Linked DNA regions of Nothobranchius furzeri. The protein of the gene in region 1 purifies or fractionates together with the protein of each later gene. This does not show direct contact. Links are inferred from orthologs where the notes say so. Each region holds a gene or a part of one and is shown in the gene's direction. Other genes may lie near its edges.

Region 1 (4,519 bases):
AACTCACATTTTAAACATCATCTACACTTTTATTATATGTTCACTGTTAAACATATAAATCTAAAATATATAATATCTATCCATCCATCCCTTTTCCCTCTACTTATGTGAGGTTGGGTCGCAGCCTGAGCAGAGGCCCAGACTTCCTTTTCCACATGACTTGGGACAGCTCCTCAGGGGGAATCCCAAGGTGTTCCCAGGACAGCTGAGAAACAGTCCTCCCAGCCTGTCCTGGGTCTCCCTTTAAGTCTCCTCCTTGTTGGATGTGTCTGGAAAACATCACCAGAGTTCAGGAGGCATCCTAACCAGATCTACTCTGATTCCCTCCCAGATGACTGAGCTTCTCACCCTATTTCTAAGGAAAATTCTGGACATCCTGTGGAGAAAACGTCATTTTGGCCACTTGTGTCTGCAACCTCTTTCCTTCGGTCAATACCCAAAGCTTGTGACCATACTATAGATGAGGGTCGGAATGTACATGGACCAGTCTTCCAGCTCATCTCTCTCTTTACACCACAACAGGCTGCATTACTAGTACAACACCCTTATATACCTAAACATCTCCACTTGAGGCAGGACCTAGTCCCTGACCTGGAGAAGGCATTCTACCCTTTTTTGACTCAAAACCATGGTCTCAGATTTGGAAGAGCTGATTATCATCCTGTCTGCACTCGGCTGCGTACTACTCAAGTAAACGTTGGAGATTATTAAAATATCTAAAATAAATTTAAATATGTACAAAAACATTAAAAACTTCCATTAAGACAAGTTAAATCCAAATTACATGAAGAGAAAAGAAGGGCAGCAACAGTTTTTTTACAAATGGCAGTTAAAATTAGGATTTCTAATGAGAACATGATATGATGAGACAAAATGAAAAAGTTTGCATCTTCTTTCATTTATTTAGCACAATTTTATGAAATGCATTTTTAGAAAATGCTTTATCTGTCTTTGCTACCTTCTTGTGCTATGTTTTTGCACCTTAAATGTGTCTTTATCAAAATGTACCATGTTTATCTACATCGATATGACGTAACCCTATTTGCGGTGCAAGTTGGCTTGGTATGTGGGACTACCTTCAATTATTATAATGACAATAAAGGAGTAATCAAAAAAATTAAATAGGCATTTATCATTTACAGTGTGGACTGAGTTTCAGAGATCCTTAACACATTTCTCTGTATAGAATTTCCTTTGAAGGGGCATTAAAATACAAATACTTAGCTAAGTATTTCAGATAATTGTAATGAATAGTTTGACTAATAAGAACAAAATTCCCCTAAAAGGAAAAAAAGCAGGCATTTCTAAAGAAAAGAGAAAAAAAAGTTTGGTTTGAATATATGCTACAGTTGCTTGCCATAAAACTCACCAAACAATTCCCCGGATGAGCGCACGCTGAAGGCCTGCCTAATCGCGCAGCTCCTGCGGCTAACGTTAGCTGCTAACGGTGCGAAACATTTCTCCCAAATCTTCGACTCAAACTGCAGAAATGTTTGGTTCTTCGAGATCCGGAGGCTTACGAGGAGGCCAGGATCAGTTTAACTGGGATGACGTGAAAGTCGATAAACACAGAGAAAATTATCTCGGTAAGTACGTGCGTCTAGCTGCGCTATCAGTGCTAGCCAGAGTGGGCGAGCAAGCAAGCAACTGAGCGAGATAGTTCAAATCGTGTTAAAATGCACACTTTGGCCCCACAGGCGTCTTCCCATACCTTTTGTATTGGAGTCCCTCATTACACAGATCTTGGATGGTTTTTATGGCGTCTTACTTTCTACTTTACACACAGCAGGACCCTACTTTCTTTTCCACCTCTGAACCCTGAACAGAAAGCAGGTAGGCTCTCCGCTCCCCCTGAGCGCTGCCAACTAGCTAGTCAGCATGCCAGACACGAGCTACGTAGCAGTCAGCGCAAATGTGACCCAAATGGGATCAAAAGTCACATTTCTGTTTGGAATGTTGTGTTTTGGGGTTCAGGTCCATCTTGACAGTTGTTGATGTTAACATTGTCTGATAAAGAACTCATGGATGCTAAGCTACAAATGTGGAGTTTCTCTAAGAGATGCTGCACACATTTTTCCTTATTAGATATGAACCTTTAAAAGATTTTCATGGTCATGCATGAAGACAAGACTACCAGACCAGATCTTAAGTGTTTCAAAGACTGCATAAATGTTTACAAGTGAAATGTTTAATATTTAACATTATGCCACTCCTAAGTTTATTCAGTAAATAATTCAATTCAGGTTATTAAATAGTGCCAAATCAAGAGAAGACTCGTCTCACAAAGTTAACATTCCAATACAGTTCAGTTCATTAAGCCAGTCAGTAAAAAGTTTCCAGCAGATTGCATCAAGTCACTGACTTGTGTCAGTGTCTTTGCAGCAATCTTCATACTAAGCAAGCATGTAGCGACAGTGGAGAGGAAAACTCCCTTTTAAGAGGAAGAAACATCCAGAGGATCCTGGTTCAGTATGAGCAGAAATGAAAGGTTACCCCTATTTCACACTGGAGGCATCAGCAGTGCGGAACGGTTTACTTTCGCTGCGTGCCAGTACACACTGGGAGAATCTCAGCCATGGACCGGCTTCTCTGCCTCGCTTAAAGTGACAGTGTGTATTTTTCCTGGTGATAGGGGGCAGTAGATACCTAAATTGTTGCAAGGAAGCTGTATTTTTGTGTTGGAGTAAGACTTTAATAATGGATGCCCATTAGGGTCAAAAAGCCCTGGGGAGTGCAAACTTCAGTAAAATGCAGCACATCAGGCTCCCTTTCATCAGTGGCAACAAGTGAAGAGGTAAATGTGTAAAACAACGTTTATGAATGGTGAAAGTTTTGCAACAGTTGTTACAAATCAGTAATGTATTTTGTCCTCAAGGGCTCCTGTAGAAGGAAACACAGCATCTAGTATGGCGTCACCGTGAGACTTTGATCCTCTTCCATGTATTTTAGACCAGATTTTTATGGTTATGTTAAGAAGCCGCCAATATTTTTCAACAACTGGGCCTCATTTAATTCATGTTCAACATTTTGATGGATATTTCCAGAGATTAATGATAAAAACTACACATTGTCTCTTTAACTTGCAAGATCACAAAATCCCTCAAGACTTCAAAGCAAGGCCCGACCGATATATCGCCCGGCCGATATTATCGTCCGATATTGGGGTCATTAACACTATAGGCTATCGGCCAAAAAGATGGCCGATATGGCCGATATTGTGCTACCGATCCAGCAGATGGCACCAGCTTTATGAACTCATGTTGTGTGGCTCCACTACTTTGAACACAAATGATTTATGCTGTGACTGAGTTTGTGTGTTCTGTTGTTTTTGAGATCTGCTTAATAAATCTTATTTGCATTACTTGGAAACCCTAGTGAGTTATTGAGACAGTTCTTTGGTGTGTAACAGAGAAATAAGTTTGTATCAAAAAGGCAGAGAATGAGGGACATTTATCAGCCATTATATCGGCTATCGGCCTTTGTTAAAAGTTTTATATCGGTATTGGCCCCAAAAAAAGCATATCGGTCGAGCCCTACTTCAAAGATCACGGTTTGTTTATACCATCTGCTATTAATCCAAAAAGAAGTAAATCATGTTTGATGTCATAGATGATGCTGTTTCTCTCCACTGCCAGGATTAAACCCATGAAAAACACACCGCTGCACTTCTGGAACGATGCTGGGAGTAAAAAAGCTGTTAGTTCACATTTGTTGACGTAATCTACATATATGGGAAATGACATTGCTGCAATAGTCTTTCATTTTGAAAATTACCCGGGCATTTTACACTGAAACCGTGTCTAGCCTGTCTAGCCCTATGTTAACTTCGTAAATGACGTGTCCCAGAATCGGTCCACGGCAAAAATAGAACCTGATCTTCAGCGGCACGGCTGGTTTGAATCACCCCCATAGACTTTAATGGATTCTATTTTGAAGCAGTGCTGTTCTGTGCCGCTTATTCTTCCAGTGTGAAGTAGGGGTTAGAGTTAGAAACGTTGGTATAATGCAAGCGAAACTGGATTGCAGATTTAGTCTTTTTTCCTTGTACGCACATTCTCCTTTTGTTCCAGGAAACTCTTTAAAGGCACCAGTAGGACGGTGGCAAAAGGGGAAAGATCTGACATGGTACGCTAAAGACAAAAAGACTGGGAAAGCTTTGTCCAAGGCAGATGAACTTGCTTCTGTGAAGGCAGCAGAACACGAGGCGATGATGGCTGCCTTGTACGTGGAACTCCTCTTCAAATACATGTTGGTATCTATGAAGTTCAGATCATAAAAATATTTATTTATGTTTTAAATTCTCATCTAGAGGACACAAGAGTATAAAGAGACAACCAACTGGCCTTACCAAAGAGGTATGTGACAAAATGGAGAACATCTTTAAACATTTTAACGTGATTAAAAATGAATTCATTTTGATTTTATTTTTTTCAGGACCTTGTTGAGGTCTGTAGGAGGGATGAGGTGGATGGTGAGGAGAGGAACGTGGATCGTATTTCTGGCTTGGGAAGCTCCAGGT
Region 2 (4,298 bases), on another chromosome or scaffold:
AATAGACAGCTTGACTCTCCCATATTCCAGTTAGAATTGACAAAGCTCCTCAGATGAGAAGCAAATTGTCTTCAAGAAACTAAAGAAGTCCAGTTGCCTTCATCTGAACCCTTTGGGTTACCATGACCTGGATGACTGAGAACCTTCATCAGCATATCTACACACACGTTTTACTTCATGATCTCAAGCACAAGTGAATGGGACATAAATGTAGGTTTTAGGGCTGTGCAGGTATTGAAACCAGATTTTAGGAAAAGTGAAGTTTTTTTAAATGAAATAATGTTTCTGCAAATAAAAATCTACTTTCAGCTCACACTTGATTCAGAAATGAACATGTATAATCAACATACCGTATGTAGCATCCAGTCACATGGCTGCAACAAAACCTCAGGTTAAATATTTTTTAATCATCCATTTAAATAGATAGATGTTTATGTATTTTGCAGACGCTTTAGTCCAAACTTTGGATTCCAAAGTGACTTACAAGTGATAATCAGCATGTTGCCCTTGAGGCTAACAACAACAGTAACAACAACAAACAATTTCCAGTCAGTTGGTGGCAGTGAGGCAGCATGATGAATCATGGAGAACAAGGAGTGGACAGTAGAGAGGGGATGGGTGCAGGGAGGGTGCTAGTTTAGAAGATGTTCTCTGAAGAGCAGGGTCTTCAGGAGTTTCTTGAAAATAGATGGACCATTAATGCCTCAGTTAAACATGGTTATTTGAAAGGTACAAATAATCAACTCCAGTAATCAGGAGACCAAATAATTAATCTTTTATAAAACAAGCATGAGGCTGTTTCACGCATGTGGATATGAGCTCACTTAATAAATCCTGGTTAAACCATGGTGAAATTACAGGCATGATGCATGATCATTTCACCTTTTTACTCCGGAATCCTTAAAAAAGAAATCCAAACGGTGAACGTTTCAAAACACAAACCAAGCCCCAAAACTTCCATTCTCAATGAAAACAGATTAATATGAATTTATTGATGCAGTCCGTCAATGGCTGTGATCTGTGTCTTCTTAAAGACAGCTGTTAACACTGTCCTAACGCGTAATGCGCTACAGCAACGCAACAGCTCAAACCGCATCTACATGTCAACATTGGACACATATCTACAGGAAAACAGATGCTAGCTGAGCTAGCTGTCAACAACATCTGTCATTAATGTACCTCTCTCTCTCTGTCAACAACAGCGAAGCCCCACCACCGTTTCAAACTTGACAAACTCATTTCATATCCAAAAGCGCGTCCGTCTGTGTTTCTACAGAGATGTCGGAAATGCAAGCTGATATTTCACCGTCAACGTCGTAAAATAAACAAATGAGTTGTAAGTGGCGCTCAAGCAGGAACGCAACTTCCGCTGGCGTCATCAACCGTCGACAAGCGAACAGGCCGCAAGTGGTGGAAGCAGAGCTACATCGTCCATAAAAAATGTAGGTTTGAGCTCTTTCCTGGCTTAAAACTGTCCGTTTTTAGTTGTGATGCTTAGTTAATCAACTCTGAAAACCCAGGCGTGTTTTACCGTCGTGTGCTTGTTGCGTGAAGAGCTGAGTGATCGGTTAACGGCATGGTCGGAGCTCTCCTTGTTTAGAGGCAGCGGGCTGAATGAAACTCGTTGGCGGCGGATTTCTGCCTGAGTGCTGCTTTTTCCTATAATAACATAACAAATGTTTACGATTTCCAGCAGACATTTGGTGCTCCCTAAACTATGTGTGATGTGGATTGTTTTTATTTATTTCAGTTATAAATCATGTATATCGTGTTTAGTCTCTTTCAGCTAGCTTACGGCTTGAATTTTTGGTGCCAGATAAGTTGTGTAATATTAGGAGAAAAACGTTATTAGTTTTTTTTATCAGTTGCTTTTACATTAAGGGATTTATTTTAAAATTGAGACATCAGTGTAGTTTTGATAAATGTTCAAGAAAATAAAATTATAAAAATCTTTGTTGCACAAAAGGAAATAAACCTACTGGGGTTTAATTATTCTAAACAAAGAGACAGAAGTTTATTGACTAGTCTGTTGTTTTAACAGCTGGAATAACAACTTAGCGTTCTGTGGTAATTCCACAGTAATGGTAGTGCATCACACTAAAGAAATATTCCTTAGCATTAAAGATTAAACACAACAGTTAAAATGTTGCTTTGTGTTTCATTTTAACTGACAGAAAACACAAAATACACTTTTTGGGTTTCATTTTCAGCTTGTTGAGATTACAGATTAGACCCAGATTTGAATTCTGCATGAATTTGAACATTCCCACAATTTGTAGCTCTTAGATTTGTTAAATCCATTTGTGTAAAACAACTAAACTAACAGATGTTTACATCACTTTAGGGCACCATCTCCTACGAAAAGGAAGGAGGAAGAAAAATCTAAAGATAGGGGCAAAGAGAAGACTGCCACCAAGGAAGGAGACAAAGAGAGAGGACGGGACAAAGTAAGGAAACGTCGTAGTGCCTCTTCTGGAAGCAGCAGCAGCAGCAGGTCTGAGTTCCTTCTCATTTGTTATATCACTAGAGAAATCTGTGCTAAAAATTCCTAACAAACCATTTCATTTGTTCTGATTGTGACCGGATCCAGATCTAGCTCATCATCCAGCAGCAGCTCTGGTTCTAGCTCAGGTTCCTCGAGTGGATCCAGCTCTTCTGGCACCAGTCGATCTGGATCGTCCAGCTCTCGATCGTCATCCTCCTCCAGCTCCTCTGGCTCGCCGAGCCCCAGCCGCAGGCGCCATGACAACCGCCGGCGCTCCCGATCACCGTAAGTCTTTGTTCGTGTCTCAGTGTTTACGATGACTTTTGGTTTCTAGTTATTTATTTACTGCTTTCTGATTTTTCAGGTCTAAAACACAGAAGAGAGGAGAGGACAAAGAGCGAAGGAAACGAAGCCCGATTGTCAAACCCACTAAGGTTCACTTAGGAAGGCTGACCAGAAACGTTACCAAGGTTAGCTTAAATGAAGAACATCTGCTTTCTCTTTCTCATCATGTCTGCTTTTATTTGAGACTATGATGCAATCTCAAGGTTATGTAAGTGCACAAGAACAGCCACGCACATCCTTAATGTGTAGTAATTAAAGATAAAATCTGAGAAGATTTTCTTGTGTGCATCGGGTGTGTTAGTCATCAGCAATGCTCTGCTCAAAACAAAAAGGAGAAAATAAAGAGTTTGTTTTATTTGTTTGGCATCAAGATAATTTTGTGTCAAAGTTGAGAGAATATCTGACCTTTCTATTTCTGTTGTACCAGGATCACATCCAGGAGATCTTTTCCACTTATGGAAAAATCAAAATGATTGACATGCAGATGGATAGGATGCACCCACACCTGAGCAAGGGCCATGCTTATGTGGAGTTTGAGACCCCTGAGGAGGCACAGAAGGCCCTTAAACACATGGACGGAGGTTGGTGTGCATGTTCAATTTAACAGCCTCTGGGTCTCAGGAACACTGGGGGTCTTTTCTGTGTGTTGATTATTTTTTATGACTATTATAAAAACAGGTCAGATTGACGGACAGGAAATCACAGCCGCTGCTGTTCTGCCTCAACGGATCCGTCTACCACCTCGCAGACTGTCTCCTCCTCGCAGAATGCCCCCACCACCTCCTATGTGGCGGCGCAGCCCACCACGCATGAGGAGGAGGTATCGCCTACAGACAGTTTCAGCCATAAACACACACACGTGTACAGGTAATAATGCCGTTTTTGTTGTTTCAGGTCTCGTTCTCCAAGGAGACGATCCCCGGCACGTCGCCGTTCCCGCTCCAGGTCTCCTGGTCGCCGGCGCCATCGCTCTCGCTCCAGCTCCAACTCCTCCAGATAAACTCATTCAGATGTCATGTGGTTTTCTACGCTGTGATGCTGATCAGCTACAACCCTCGTTTTCTCAGACTCCTTTGACTCAGTAGAAATGCCATCATCTACGCTGTATGTGTGGTCATAGCAAGAGTGCTTCTGTTCCATTTGATTTTTTCTTAAATTTTGTGCTAAGTTGATTCAGAAAAGTTAGCTTAGTTTTATGTTGCCTCTACCGGGATCTACAAACATTTTGTTTCCTTTTACCTTGTATTACGTCCTTTTAACTTTTAAAAAATAAAGATGCAGAAACAGAATTTCTGAATGTTCAAGTTAAACTTCTTGTCTCAGCAGCTCTAAGGTGACTTACTGTTAAATAAAAGTTCATATTTTACATCGATCTTTCTATTTGTGAACTTGCATAGAAACTACAATGGCATCTCATTACTATGAGAGACTATCTCTTATTTATGACACTAATTGTACATCTTACCTA

The links.
Region 2: the proteins of c11h1orf35 (region 1) and RNA-binding protein with serine-rich domain 1 purify together in Homo sapiens (co-immunoprecipitation; 3 studies listed by BioGRID and IntAct, with this or other methods). This does not show direct contact. The link is inferred for Nothobranchius furzeri from reciprocal best matches to the Homo sapiens genes C1orf35 and RNPS1.

Annotation. Positions count from the first base shown.
Region 1 is NC_091751.1:49,802,748-49,807,266, reverse strand, and holds the start of c11h1orf35 (multiple myeloma tumor-associated protein 2), read left to right. Parts: upstream 1-1,611; 5' UTR 1,612-1,676; coding exon 1,677-1,833; exon of another isoform or gene 1,834-1,852; intron 1,853-4,070; coding exon 4,071-4,221; intron 4,222-4,309; coding exon 4,310-4,355; intron 4,356-4,434; coding exon 4,435-4,517; intron 4,518-4,519.
Region 2 is NC_091752.1:58,150,524-58,154,821, forward strand, and holds RNA-binding protein with serine-rich domain 1, read left to right. Parts: upstream 1-1,318; 5' UTR 1,319-1,440; coding exon 1,441-1,442; intron 1,443-2,344; coding exon 2,345-2,494; intron 2,495-2,590; coding exon 2,591-2,770; intron 2,771-2,849; coding exon 2,850-2,955; intron 2,956-3,257; coding exon 3,258-3,411; intron 3,412-3,508; coding exon 3,509-3,650; intron 3,651-3,724; coding exon 3,725-3,830; 3' UTR 3,831-4,119; downstream 4,120-4,298. UniProt on the Homo sapiens protein: Part of pre- and post-splicing multiprotein mRNP complexes. Auxiliary component of the splicing-dependent multiprotein exon junction complex (EJC) deposited at splice junction on mRNAs.